Xenopus tropicalis: one gene and its partners. The protein of the gene in region 1 interacts with the protein of each later gene in a biochemical or structural test. Links are inferred from orthologs where the notes say so. Each region holds a gene or a part of one and is shown on either strand. Other genes may lie near its edges.

Region 1 (4,266 bases):
AACTTACAAGAACACACAGAGTACATCCCATGCCACAAAGCAGGGAGCCAGGAGGATCATTTTAAGACCCTCTCTGGCAACAGGATTTGTAAAGCTCAGTATTAATCTAGTTAGCCAATCCAGTTACACATAGTACATATTACGCTAATGATTCCAGTACACATATACAAAAAAGGTAAATAAATAAAGCCATGGTAGGGCTCTGAACAATTTTAAAAGTGTCAAAGGAGTATTTAATTTTGATGGCAAACCCTTTTTATATGAACACATTCCCAAACATATCATTGCTGCCACTGATCCCTCAGACAAAAAAATAAAATTAGAAACATCAAAAATATATCATTACAATCAATTTATTGACTAGAGTCATAATTGAAATGGGACACTTTACCCTTTAAACCCATCTGGGATACTGTGTGTCATTTTTAGAAGTACAGAAATAATATTCTATTGCTACTTTTTTCAAGCATACCTTTTTACACCAATCAGCTTAAGGTCTCTCAAAACACTTTATCAAAGTTTAGCAACAATCAATATTTGAATATTGTCCTTTGCTAAACAATTTTGGAAAATGCATATTTGGCCAACCAGGCACTAATTTCTTTCAGAACAGACCAGTTGTTTTGTGCAATGGTTACATAACAGCTGAGTTTTTTTGACCATCTGAATCGCCAATACTTAAAAATGCATAACATACAGCATCTGAAGAAACACTGCTGAGATCTATACTTCAACAAATGCTATAACTGGGGCCAAAGTTACTACATAGACACCTAAAATCAGGAAGGTACAACAATCATCCTTCCAATACAGCAGCCCCCCCCCCCCCCCCCCGCCAAATGCCTTCAGCTGCCCAAGTGTAGCTCAAAAGCAGTTTTAGGGTCACATGTTGAGAATCCCCCTTTATACAGTCTTCCGACATAGATGGTCTTACCCAGTGTGCAATAGGGAATTGGATAAACCTATTATGTAGACAAAATGATCCCCCCCAAAAAACAGTCTGTGGATTAAATACCTTGCACAGACATTGACAGTGTATATACCAAGCATTACATTATATCTTATATTGTGATGCACTGATCTGTAATGTTTTGAACAGTTTAAATTATGGTGACCATTAATTCAATAAATTAAATAAATTTATACTGTTAAAACAAAAAAGTATTACAAAGCTATTTATAGTTGCACCATGCACCAGCTATCCAAGAGTTCCTTATTTTTTTTATGATTATCACTGTTTTACCAGAGTCTATGAAAAATATTTATGACCTGGACAGCAGTATGTCCACCACTTACGGGAAAAGGCTCTAAATATCACCATACAGAAATGAACCCACACTCATTACATAGTTATATATATATATATATATATATATATATATATATATATATATATATATATATATATATATATATATATATAGTACACTTTCCCTAATAAATACAATGGTAGTAATCACTAAGGCGCATCTTCCAAATAGGCAGAAAGACAGGGACCCCCACCCCCAAACAAACAATAAGCACAGTACTACATCATCTGGAAACCTGCAAGCTGGGCATGCTTGAAGCATATACAGAAAGTATCTCAAAAGGCCTTTCTACTTATATTTATGCCCCCATCCCCACAGCAAGCTCAACTGGAAGACTGTAAGATGGCATGCCTGACGTATACGCAGAATGAATCTAACAAGTCCTTTACAATTATAGCTTATATCCCTCTCTGCAGGGCAACATCAACTGGAAGACTGTAAGATGGCATGCCTGACGTATACGCAGAATGAATCTAACAAGTCCTTTACAACTGTACCTATATCCCTCTCTGCAGGGCAACATCAACTGGAAGACTGTTGGGCATTACCTGATGCACATACAGAACATTCCTAACAAATCATTTGCACTTGAACCTATGGCCCCTTCCCCAGGCCAACATCAGCTGGGCATTCCTGATGCATATACAGAACGTATCTAACCAACGTATCTAAATTCTTTCCACTCAATTCTATGGCCACTCCGCAGGGCAGCACAAGCTGGGCATTGCTGATCACATACAGAACACACTACTTCAAAATCATCTGCCCTTGAATCTATGGCCCCTGCCCCAGGCCAACATCAGTTGGGAATTGCTGATGCACATACAGAACGTATCTAACAAGTTCTTTCGACTGAAATCTATGGGCACTCCGCAGGGCAGCACAAGCTGGGCACTGCCGATGCACATACACAACACAGCAAACAAGTCATCTGCCGTTGAATCTATGGCCCCTTCCCCCGGCCAACCTCAGCTGGGTATGCCTGATGCACATACAGAACGTATCTAACAAGTTCTTTCCACTTGTCTGTATGCCCCTCTGCAGGACAAATGCCCTTGCTGCCCTATTGCTCGCAGTTGTTGAGCCAACACTGTCAGTGCCGTCGCTCTAAGGCTGCGATTTCTAGTTACCCCAAGAGATGGGACGCAATTTTTGCCCTCCCGCCCCGGCCCAGCACTTGGGTGCTTTCTTACGTTTTCTGGACGGGTTTTCTTCTTTTCCTGCTGGCGTACATGATGTTGGCGTTCATCCCGTCCACTTCTACGCCGCGGAGACACGCCAAGGAATCCAACTTCCAAATTCTAAATATTTAATGGCTTTCCTCCCTTTCACCCTCCCCCCTTGTGCCTGCCCGGCACCGTATCCGTAAATAGTTACAAAGTTCCGGTAAGAAGGCAAAAACGGGAGTTTCCGTGAATTCTACTTTTCCTCAAGTCACTTGAAGCGTATGCAAGCACACGCATGCGCAGAGCAGGGCCTGACGTTGCTTGACTGAGGCACGCCCACGTAGGGATGCGCATGCGCGTTAACTGGAGCGCGCCTAAGTGTGCGCGTATTGACAGATCTATTAGGTGGGACGGCGTTAAACAGCGCCCGTCACTTTCTTGATAAAGTGTATGCTAGATACAATTCAGTAAAATAGACGTACAGCAAGTCAGTATTTTAAAGAATTAAAAAATTATTAAATTGTATTTAAAAAAATAAAATAGTGAATCTGGGGATTGCTGTTGTAAAAAAATGCGTTCTTGCCGGAAGAGGTGTTTCAGGAAGAAAGGCGCGGAGAATAGTAACATCGAGTGCGAGTGTTTTGTCCCGCCTGTCTGCATTTCTGAGTGAAAAAAATTACAGTCCTAAACTGTTCATAGCTGAGGGCATTGTGCTGCTTTATGTGCCGGATACATTGGAGGAACTGTGGCGCCCTGGCTGTACTGCCTTATGCAAACACTTCTACTGCTGAACAGTTAGGGGCCTGTTTGTTATGCTGTGTACAACGAAATGTATCAAAAAACAGCTTAAAAGCTGTGTAAAATAATGGCAAGATTATCAAGGTGTGTTTTGTTTTACACCGTCTGAACGCCAGATTTGATGCCATTCTTTGCATTAAAAAAATTATACTGTATATTTCCCCAAGAGTATACTGCATTGAATACAAAATAGGGTCAGGAAAAATGCATGTAACGCACTCTGGAAGGGGGGACAGCATATATGTACTACAGCATTGCATCGGGGACAGTATATATGTACTACAGCATTGCATCGGGGACAGTATATATGTACTACAGCATTGCATCGGGGACAGCATATATATGTACTACAGCATTGCATCGGGGACAGCATATATGTACTACAGCATTGCATCGGGGACAGCATATATATGTACTACAGCATTGCATCGGGGACAGTATATATATGTACTACAGCATTGCATCGGGGACAGCATATATGTACTATAGCATTGCATCGGGGACAGCATATATGTACTATAGCATTGCATCGGGGACAGCATATATGTACTATAGCATTGCATCGGGGACAGTATATATGTACTACAGCATTGCATCGGGGACAGTATATATGTACTACAGCATTGCATCGGGGACAGCATATATATGTACTACAGCATTGCATCGGGGACAGTATATATATGTACTACAGCATTGCATCGGGGACAGCATATATGTACTATAGCATTGCATCGGGGACAGCATATATGTACTACAGCATTGCATCGGGGACAGCATATGTGTACTACAGCATTGCATCGGGGACAGCATATATGTACTACAGCATTGCATCGGGGACAGCATATATGTACTACAGCATTGCATCGGGGACAGCATATATGTACTACAGCATTGCATCGGGGACAGCATATATGTACTATAGCATTGCATCGGGGACAGCATATATGTACTATAGCATACCTCCCAACATTTGAAAAATGAAAAGAGGGACA
Region 2 (4,211 bases), on another chromosome or scaffold:
ACTTTTCCACATTTTGTCACACCCCACTTTGCAGTTATTTATTTGTAAAAAAAATGTTTGGAATCATGTATGATTTTCGTTCCACTTCTCACGTGTACACCACTTTGTATTGGTCTTTCACGTGGAATTCCAATCAAATTGATTCATGTTTGTGGCTGTAATGTGACAAAATGTGGGAAAGTTCAAGGGGGCCGAATACTTTTGCAAGCCACTGTATACACACACAGCAGCACGGATATTATACAGCTATGGGTTTATATACACACCGCAGCAGGAACATAATAATAAGTAGATTAAAAAAAGCTAGCTATGGTTACTCTATAGAAATAGTAGACAGAAAGAAAGTGTTACACAAGCCCATCCACCACGGATCTATAGAAAGTGAGAGATTTAAAGGCATACATACAGCAGCTAAAGACTGACACAGACAGACACAGATTTGCTCTAGTTCTGCATCACGTTATCTAAGGCCAACATGAAGGGATGAACCAGTATTGCATTTTACCATTTATTCTTTCCATTAAAATGATGGCTGAGACAGCCATTAGCAGAAAAATAAGGCTTACATTTGTATTTGGGCCGGGGTGAGTGAAAGTTATGTAAACGTCAGGTTAATAGATGTATGAGACAAATTAATTATTAGTTGGGCCAGCTCTTTTCACCTGATTATAAAATCACCCAGGCACAAGTATGCTTACAAACTCAAACGCCACGTGGCCTTATATCAAAAGTGAGTGACAAAGTGACACCAACGAGTCGATGGTTGCGACCACCATTTGAGGGGGGATAGTAGTCCTGGAGCCAATTGGTTTTGGATCTATGGGGTGGGGGAAATAATAAGTAAAGCTATTCACAACACAATATTTATAAAGTGTGCGTATACACCTTCTCATCTATGCTAGCATTTTCATTAGCAGAATAATTTGTCCTATTATAATTACTTCCGCAAATTTTACTGACTAGAGACCTATTATTTCTCTTAGGCCCCTTGAGTTCTACGGGTGAAGACACACTGAGCAACTAGTAGCAACTACTAGACTCCAGAATATACCGTGCTATAGACAATACTGAGAACTGAATCTGCTAAAACACACGTAGAGAGATTATCAGTAAATGATCAGCACTGTCTATTTTAGTAGCTACGTAAAGTAGCTGCTACTAGTAGCTCCGCGAGTCTTCCCCCTAAGGGCTCTGGCACACGGGGAGATTAGTCGCCCGCGACAAATCTCCTGTGTCCTGGGCGACTAATCTCCCCGGATTGCCATCCCACCAGCGAAAATGTAAATCGCCGGTGGGATGGCATACGCTGTGGCGCGATTTCAGTGAGATCGAGGCAACTTGTGCAATCTCACTGAAATTGCGCCACCGCGTGTGCCATCCCACCGGCGACTTACACTTTCGCCGGTGGGATGGCAATCTGGGGAGATTAGTCGCCCGAGACACGGGAGATTTGTCGCTGGCGACTAAACCCCCCCCGTGTGCCAGAGCCCTAATAGTCTCTCCAAGGGCACCAAACTGCATAATAGTCATACTTGAGGTGGCCATACAGGTTAAGATTCGCTCGCTTGGCGACCTTGCCAAGTGAGCGGATCTTCTCCCGTTATCCCCACCTACGGGTGTGCGATATCGAGTGAACTTAAGGTGGCCATACCCGCACCGATAATATCGTACGAAACCTCGTTTCGTACGATATTTGGTGCGGGTATGGTATGTCGGCGAGTTGACCGATATCGCAGGAAGCTGCTGATATCGGCCGACTCGCCGATCGGACCAGTTTGAAAATTTTGATCGGGCGCCATAGAAGGCGCCTGACCAAAATCTCCCTTCAGCGCTGAATCGGCAGAAGGAGGTAGAAATCCTTTTGTTTCTACCTCCTTACCTGCCGATTCAGCCCTGAATGGTGTGTGGCGGATCTGACGATGTTTCGTGCGACCGATGGTATGGCCAGCTTTAGGCTAATTTGGTCGCTTGGCCCTGGGGCCAAACAATCGAATTAGAAAGCAGGAATAGGAGCAGTTGGTTGCGGTCCCCGATCCGACTAAATTTTTTAACCTGCCTGATCGATATCTGGATGATTTCAGGCCCATGTCGGTCGGGCAGACCTGCCGTTTGTGCCCCTACATGGGCCGATAAGCTACCGATATTGGCAGCTACAATCGCCCTATATATGGCCACCTTTATTGTGGAACAAAGCTCCCAGTTATACCATAAGATATAGAATACAATATAGTAAATAATAAACAGTAACAATAGCAGTGAAGCCTCACAGAGTAATAGGCGTTTGGCTTCTGGGATCACTTACTGCCATGTGAAGTAGGAAAGCATCAGAAGGCAGTGCATAATTCAACACTATAAAAATATAAAGTACAACTATAAGGTTGTTTAGAAATGCCCACTCTGCAACATGTCCTACCCATGCCCAGCCCCCGGGCAACTGGCCTGACCTGCCTGCACAACACAAGAGCTTATCACAGGTACCCCACACGTATCACTGCCCATTACCAGCTCCCCGTCCCACCCATGTGGAACCGCCACAGGCACACAGAGGCGACAGGTAGCTGTACCAGAGCGAATTCTGAGGCAACTAATTGCGCATTAACACGTACGCCATAAGCCGCCGTTCCCACAAGTACATGACACAAATGCAGAACAATTAGCGAACTCCTTACCTGCCCCCCAAGCCCAGCTGCCTTCCTGCCCACCTCCGTACTAAGTCCAACCCTCGGCTATCTCTTTCCTAAAGTTTCCGGGGCGACCGAACGGATATCGCCCTCCCTGAGGAAGCTTCACAGCGCAACACCGGACATGACGCCATTCAGCTAGCGACGCAATGCGAGAGAAAGTACCTAACCGAATACCAGCGATAAGGGGAAAAGCTTGAAAGGGAATAGTAGGAGGGGTCAGAGTAGTGGGCGTGCTTTTGACGAATCATACAGTGTAGAAATTATTTTTGGAATGTCGAGCATGCGCAGCAGCGGTACATTGGAGACGAATCGCCCATGCGCAGCAGGGGTATATTGATGGAGAATCGCGCATGTGCAGTTTCTGCCCATGGACTGCTGTATGCTGGGAAGTTATGGTGCTGGGCATTACTACTGTCTTCATGGTGTACGGAAACATATAATAAAAAAGTCTATTTATTGTGCTACCACAGAGGCATTGAACAGCTATAACTGAGTGATACCCTTAGGAGGTATATGGCTATTGCAGGGATAACCCCATATCACAGCAAGGGGAGTTGCCCCGGATTGTGCAAGCTAGCCAAAAGACTTTTTATGTATGTATGTATGTATAACTTTATTTGTAAAGCGCCACAAGGTTATGCAGCGCTGTACGTTTGTGCCCGGTAGTATACCTAATATCCAGCACTAACCCCCACACTGCTGGCTGGGATTTCCACTCAAGGTTTTCCCAAATCACTTAGTCCCCATTAACATCAGAATACCAAATTCCTACGAACACATGGGGCACTGGCAGCATATACGCACAAGGAAAGGTTTTTTTTATTGTCTCATGGTGAAGATGCTGCTGATTCTGGTAATAGAGATGTAACCCTATTTTGGCTAGTATTTGCCAATGTCCAGCTAGTGGGTATGAGCACGGAGAAATGCGCTTATGAGATGTTGCTGAACTGCAATTCTCCACCACTGCCAAAGGTGTATATATTATGGACACCAGAGGTTGTTTTGCATTAAACTAGAACTTAGTTTATTGATGGAATGCACAGCATATGCAGGGTTAATACAGTTTTAAGGTATAGTTGTACAAGATCAGATACTGTTGCAATATAAGCAGAGTAGTGTAGCACCATGGTGGAGATAGATAAGTGATAATAGACAGGAGTCCCAAGGGTGTCAACCTTAACTGGCCCGGTTCCCTACAGCCAACTCTGGTCCAGGGTTTAGAAACAGCCTGAATCCTATGTCTGGACTGCTGTCCCTACAATAAGGCAGTAGAGCCTTGGGTGTACTAAACCCACTAAATTCTCGTTTGTTGGAGCACACAGCTGCTCTTGCTAAGTCACACTCCTAGAGCTGCTATTACAGAGTCAAATAACTTCACCTCATTCAAGGGGTCCCTGATCCCCGGCTTAGAATTACTAGTAGGATTGGCTTCGGCTTGGGCACAGGCTTCTGGGCCTAGTTGGGTCCCAGGCTCAATGGAACACCACCTGCATAACAATTAGGGGCATATTTAGTAAGCTGTGTAAA
Region 3 (4,266 bases), on another chromosome or scaffold:
TCATGTGTATTAATATATAAATATATATGACTGTATGTATATATATATATATATATATATATATATATATATATATATATACACACACATCACTATATGTATATATACTTAATATATATATATATATATATATATTCATCAATAGTCAGGATCTACAATCATTTCAAACACACGGAATATCCGAAGTGATACAGTGAAACAATGAGAATAGAAGATAAAATTGGACTTACAATAATTAAACATAGTGAGGAGAAGCCAATTAATGTATGCAAGGCTTGGTGCAGTGTGGCTGCTGGCAGAGTGAGTGACCAAACGTGGCAATGCAAAACACTGGATCATTAAGTGCAAGGATGCTAAACGTGAGCAAGCTTATTTATGCTCCCTGCTTGCAAAGCTCACAAACTGTTCTAATGGGGACGTGGGGGCTCACTCCATAGGCGCTAACTGCCTGCTCTCAGGACATGAAAACTAACAAAAAGAAAATGGAAACTGAACTAAATTTAGAACCCACACAGACACACAAAAAATATGAACTCACCCCATGCAATGCAATCATATGGCAATGATTTGTGTAGTGGGCCAATTTAAATGACTAGCATGTCTGGTATTGATAGGCTCTCACTATACAGGACAAGTATTCCCAGGCTGCTGCATTTTTAATAAAACCTCGGATTTTTAGATGGCGACGCTTTGCATTTAAATACAAGTGGAGTAACCTGTTCATTAGAGATAAAATATAGAACAATTATAAGCCTATGGATGAATGTATTTGCTTCCTGCTTTCCTCACCTAAATTACCTTGGAAATATTAACGTGACTTTTGGTTTTATATAAGTTTCAGCGTGGTTTGTAAATGCGGTGATGCCTATGTGCAGAGCATTGGGCACTGGCTTGATTGTTACACTGTATCTATTTGTACATAGTCACACACTCACACACACATTCATTCTCACAAAACATTACTTTTCTTTACTGTACACAACCACCCAAAATACCAATCACACAATCTAATACAAATACACAAGTACACAATATTTTTTATATATCACTATGTATCAGGATGTGTCAATGATGTAACAGTTTGTCTACTCCTACACACATAAACTTACACACACTGACAACCTGACACAGATACACAAAACCCACTGACAGGCAGGAACAAGTACAAGGCAGCTACGGACCCCGCATATACAGCCTCACCCCATTCATTCACACACTTTAAGCTTCTGTAACGAAAGGGAGGAAACTTTTAGTTCTCTCTGTAAAGTGTGTGAGATAATGGCCTATATATAAAATACAATACAACCTTCTTAAACAAGGTGGCTGCTAATTTAAATTATGTCTGGATTAAAGAGAGGGATGGCATAATGAAAATGGACTGTATATGAAGAATAAATGCATTTTGAATATGAAGAATATGAAGTGGAGCAGAGAGGGCATGTGTTTAGCAAGGCCACGAATTGCTGGAACTAGAGGAACTAGAGGATGCCTGGAGTGCCCAGAGCATGGATGGAAAGTACAGTAAATTGCATTGTTTTCATGTGGATTGGTGGGGGAGAGGTGCTTGGCTGAACTTGCTGTGTGTGTGTGTCTTTTAATGATGACAGAGAGAGGGAGAGAGAGAGAGAGAGGGAAGGGATGGAGCACATGAATAGAGAGGCTCAGCCAACAGCCCACAGCATGCTTCCACAGACAAAACCCACACAAAGCTAGACACGCGGGGAACGCAGCGATTATTAATATTAATAGCGCCACAATGCATCAGCAAGTCATACATATTGGGCCAGGCAGGCGCACTCACACACACACACACATAGACACACACACAGACACACACACCGGTGCCCAGAGCAAATATTCACCTTCCCTCCTCATGCCCACTTTGAGGCACTTCTTCAGGCGGCAGTACTGGCACTGGTTGCGGTGGTGCTGGTCTATGGGGCAGTTGCGGTTGGCGCGACATGTGTACGTTAAGTTCCTGCGGACGCTCCTCTTGAAGAAACTTTTGCAGCCCTCGCAGGTGAACTGGCCGTAGTGCTTGCCGCTCGACTTGTCCCCACACACGACGCACTCGATGTGCTGCTGCTGACTCTGCCCGGAGCCCTGCTGGCCCTTGTCCCCGGCTGCACCGGGGGTGGATGGGGGTCCCGGCTGGCTGGGGGTCTGAGGCGTGTGGGGGGCAGCGGAGGGCGCTTGCTGTTGCTCCCTGGCCCCCGGGTTGGGGCCTCCCGGATTTCCCCCGGCCACGTCCTCCTGCGGATCTCTCCAGCTGCTAACTACCATTGCCATATCTCGGGCCCAGAAAGTGCTGGAGAGGGAGCTTATGGCCGCGGTCTGGGGGGATTTGATCCTGGAGGAGAAGAAGAAGCTGGCTGTCTCTGCCGTGGTGCTGGCCGCTGCTGGGAGCCGTTTCCTTGGATTAGCGCTCAAGGGATTTCCCCCTGTCTCTTGCACAGTGAAATGGGCTCAGGAGCTAATGATGTATTGTGTGCCCGGCTGGGCGCTGGAAGTGCGGCTTCAACTGTTCCCCCCCTCCCCTGAGTGTCGATCTGGTCCTCCTCCCCTGGTCTCCGGGCTGCGGGCTGCAGGAGGAGGGTTCAGGCTGGGGAGGCGGCGGGATTCGCAGCCCCAATTTCGCCGGCAGACATAGGGCGGCCAGGGGCAGCGGGCTCTGCAGGACGGAGCAGTGTGCAGCCGGCCTGGGTGACGGGAGGGAGGGCGATGAAGAATAAATCTTTGGAGGGGGTGGGTGGGGGGACCTGATCAGGGTTTGTTAGTGTCCGGGGGCCAAATCCAGGGCAAAATGCAGTCAGCCATTCATAGAGCCAGTCCTGGGAATCTGCCTCATCCACAGCCTGGAGCAGATCAGGCGCTTCCCTCCCTCCGCGATCTGTCGCTTGGCAAATGCTCTCTTTATTGGGAGCGATGGAGAAATAACCCCGGTGCGACTCTCATTGCATCACAAGTCACAAACAGCGAGAGAAGGTTCCGACCCGTCCGCACCATGAGGAGACAGAGCCCGGCTTATCCCATCTGCCCGGAATAACAAGGCTCTGATAGGGGTCGGGCTGTGGCTGTACCGGCCGGCGGCTCCGCTTCTCCTTCTGCTCTTTGGCTTCTCAAGTCAGTTGGAAAAAAAAACACAAAAAGTCGCAGGAAAAGTCAGAGAGAGACACCGGTATCCTCCTGGAGCAGCGACACTGCGATTCTGAGAATAGAATAATAATAACAATGGGCTGGAGCGGTCGGTGCTGTGCGGAGCTCTCCTGCAGGAATGGAGTGAGGGAGGCAAAGGGGGGAAAAAGAAAAGGAAAAAAAAAGCCCAGACGACACCTAATAGAATATGCAATAAGAAGAGAAGTCGGGAGAAGGGAAGGCACAGAGTCACACACACAAATGAATGCGTTTAAACGGGAAGAGCAGCGGAGCAACGTTTCCGAAAGGGGGATCTGCGCGACTGTCTGTATATAGTGAACTTTGACACTACTATTGAAACTGACACGTTTCTATGGAGATCGCTGCCTTATATGGTGCTCATGTCAAGGAGCCAAGAGAGGGGCTGCTGGCAACTGATAATCAAAGGCGACTGACTGGTCAGAGCCCCGAGTTGGGGGGGAAGAAAAATGGGAGGCTAAGGTTAGCCAAGCCCCCTCTTCCTATTGGTGGGATCACTTGTGCCTCAGGCCCCCCCTTTTCCATTTGCCTTGTTACCTACGACTGGGGCTGGAAGGAGGGAGAATGATGGGGGGGGGGGGGGGGGGGGGGCTCTGACAAGCGCACTGTTCATTCACATCGCCTGCCTGCCCGCTGCTGCCATTTGCTCGCAGCCCTGATTAGCATGGGCCACAACAAAATGCACCACTTGGAGTGGCTGATGGGAAAATGGCAGAACTTACACGGCCTGGAGATGAAGATGTAAAAATGAGGAGACTGTGAATTATTTAGATTGATGTCAAAAGGAATCTCACTCTCTCCCCAGCAGCACTCTCACTCCCTGTCCGCACCCCCCTGCACTTTCCCACTGATCTCTAACAATGAGAATAATAATAAAAAAAATGTGTATCTGTATTTGAGCAAATATTTATATCTATCCCCCGCTATAGTGCGATATTTAGTGGAGAAGTTGCGCCACAGCGTTAGAGGAATTATTAATGAAACGCAGCTCCTGTCCCTTTTTGTTGTCTGGCAGGATCAATGCCTGTAAGAGTCCCAGCAGCACAGGCACCCTGTTAGAGACGCACATGCCTTTCAGCGGCAGAATCGCTG

The links. The genes of interacting proteins can lie anywhere in the genome.
Region 2: the proteins of ahr (region 1) and arnt form a complex in vitro, tested with the Homo sapiens proteins (14 studies listed by BioGRID, with this or other methods). The link is inferred for Xenopus tropicalis from reciprocal best matches to the Homo sapiens genes AHR and ARNT.
Region 3: the proteins of ahr (region 1) and nr2f1 form a complex in vitro, tested with the Homo sapiens proteins (2 studies listed by BioGRID). The link is inferred for Xenopus tropicalis from reciprocal best matches to the Homo sapiens genes AHR and NR2F1.

The regions. Positions count from the first base shown.
Region 1 is NC_030682.2:37,604,843-37,609,108, reverse strand, and holds the start of ahr (aryl hydrocarbon receptor), read right to left. Parts: upstream 2,824-4,266; 5' UTR 2,560-2,823; coding exon 2,504-2,559; intron 1-2,503. UniProt on the Homo sapiens protein: Ligand-activated transcription factor that enables cells to adapt to changing conditions by sensing compounds from the environment, diet, microbiome and cellular metabolism, and which plays important roles in development, immunity and cancer.
Region 2 is NC_030684.2:126,632,753-126,636,963, forward strand, and holds the start of arnt (aryl hydrocarbon receptor nuclear translocator), read right to left. Parts: upstream 2,806-4,211; 5' UTR 2,670-2,805; intron 1-2,669. UniProt on the Homo sapiens protein: Required for activity of the AHR. Upon ligand binding, AHR translocates into the nucleus, where it heterodimerizes with ARNT and induces transcription by binding to xenobiotic response elements (XRE).
Region 3 is NC_030677.2:178,175,092-178,179,357, forward strand, and holds the start of nr2f1 (COUP transcription factor 1), read right to left. Parts: upstream 2,806-4,266; 5' UTR 2,290-2,805; coding exon 1,863-2,289; intron 1,601-1,862; exon of another isoform or gene 340-1,600; coding exon of another isoform or gene 231-339; intron 1-230. UniProt on the Homo sapiens protein: Coup (chicken ovalbumin upstream promoter) transcription factor binds to the ovalbumin promoter and, in conjunction with another protein (S300-II) stimulates initiation of transcription. Binds to both direct repeats and palindromes of the 5'-AGGTCA-3' motif.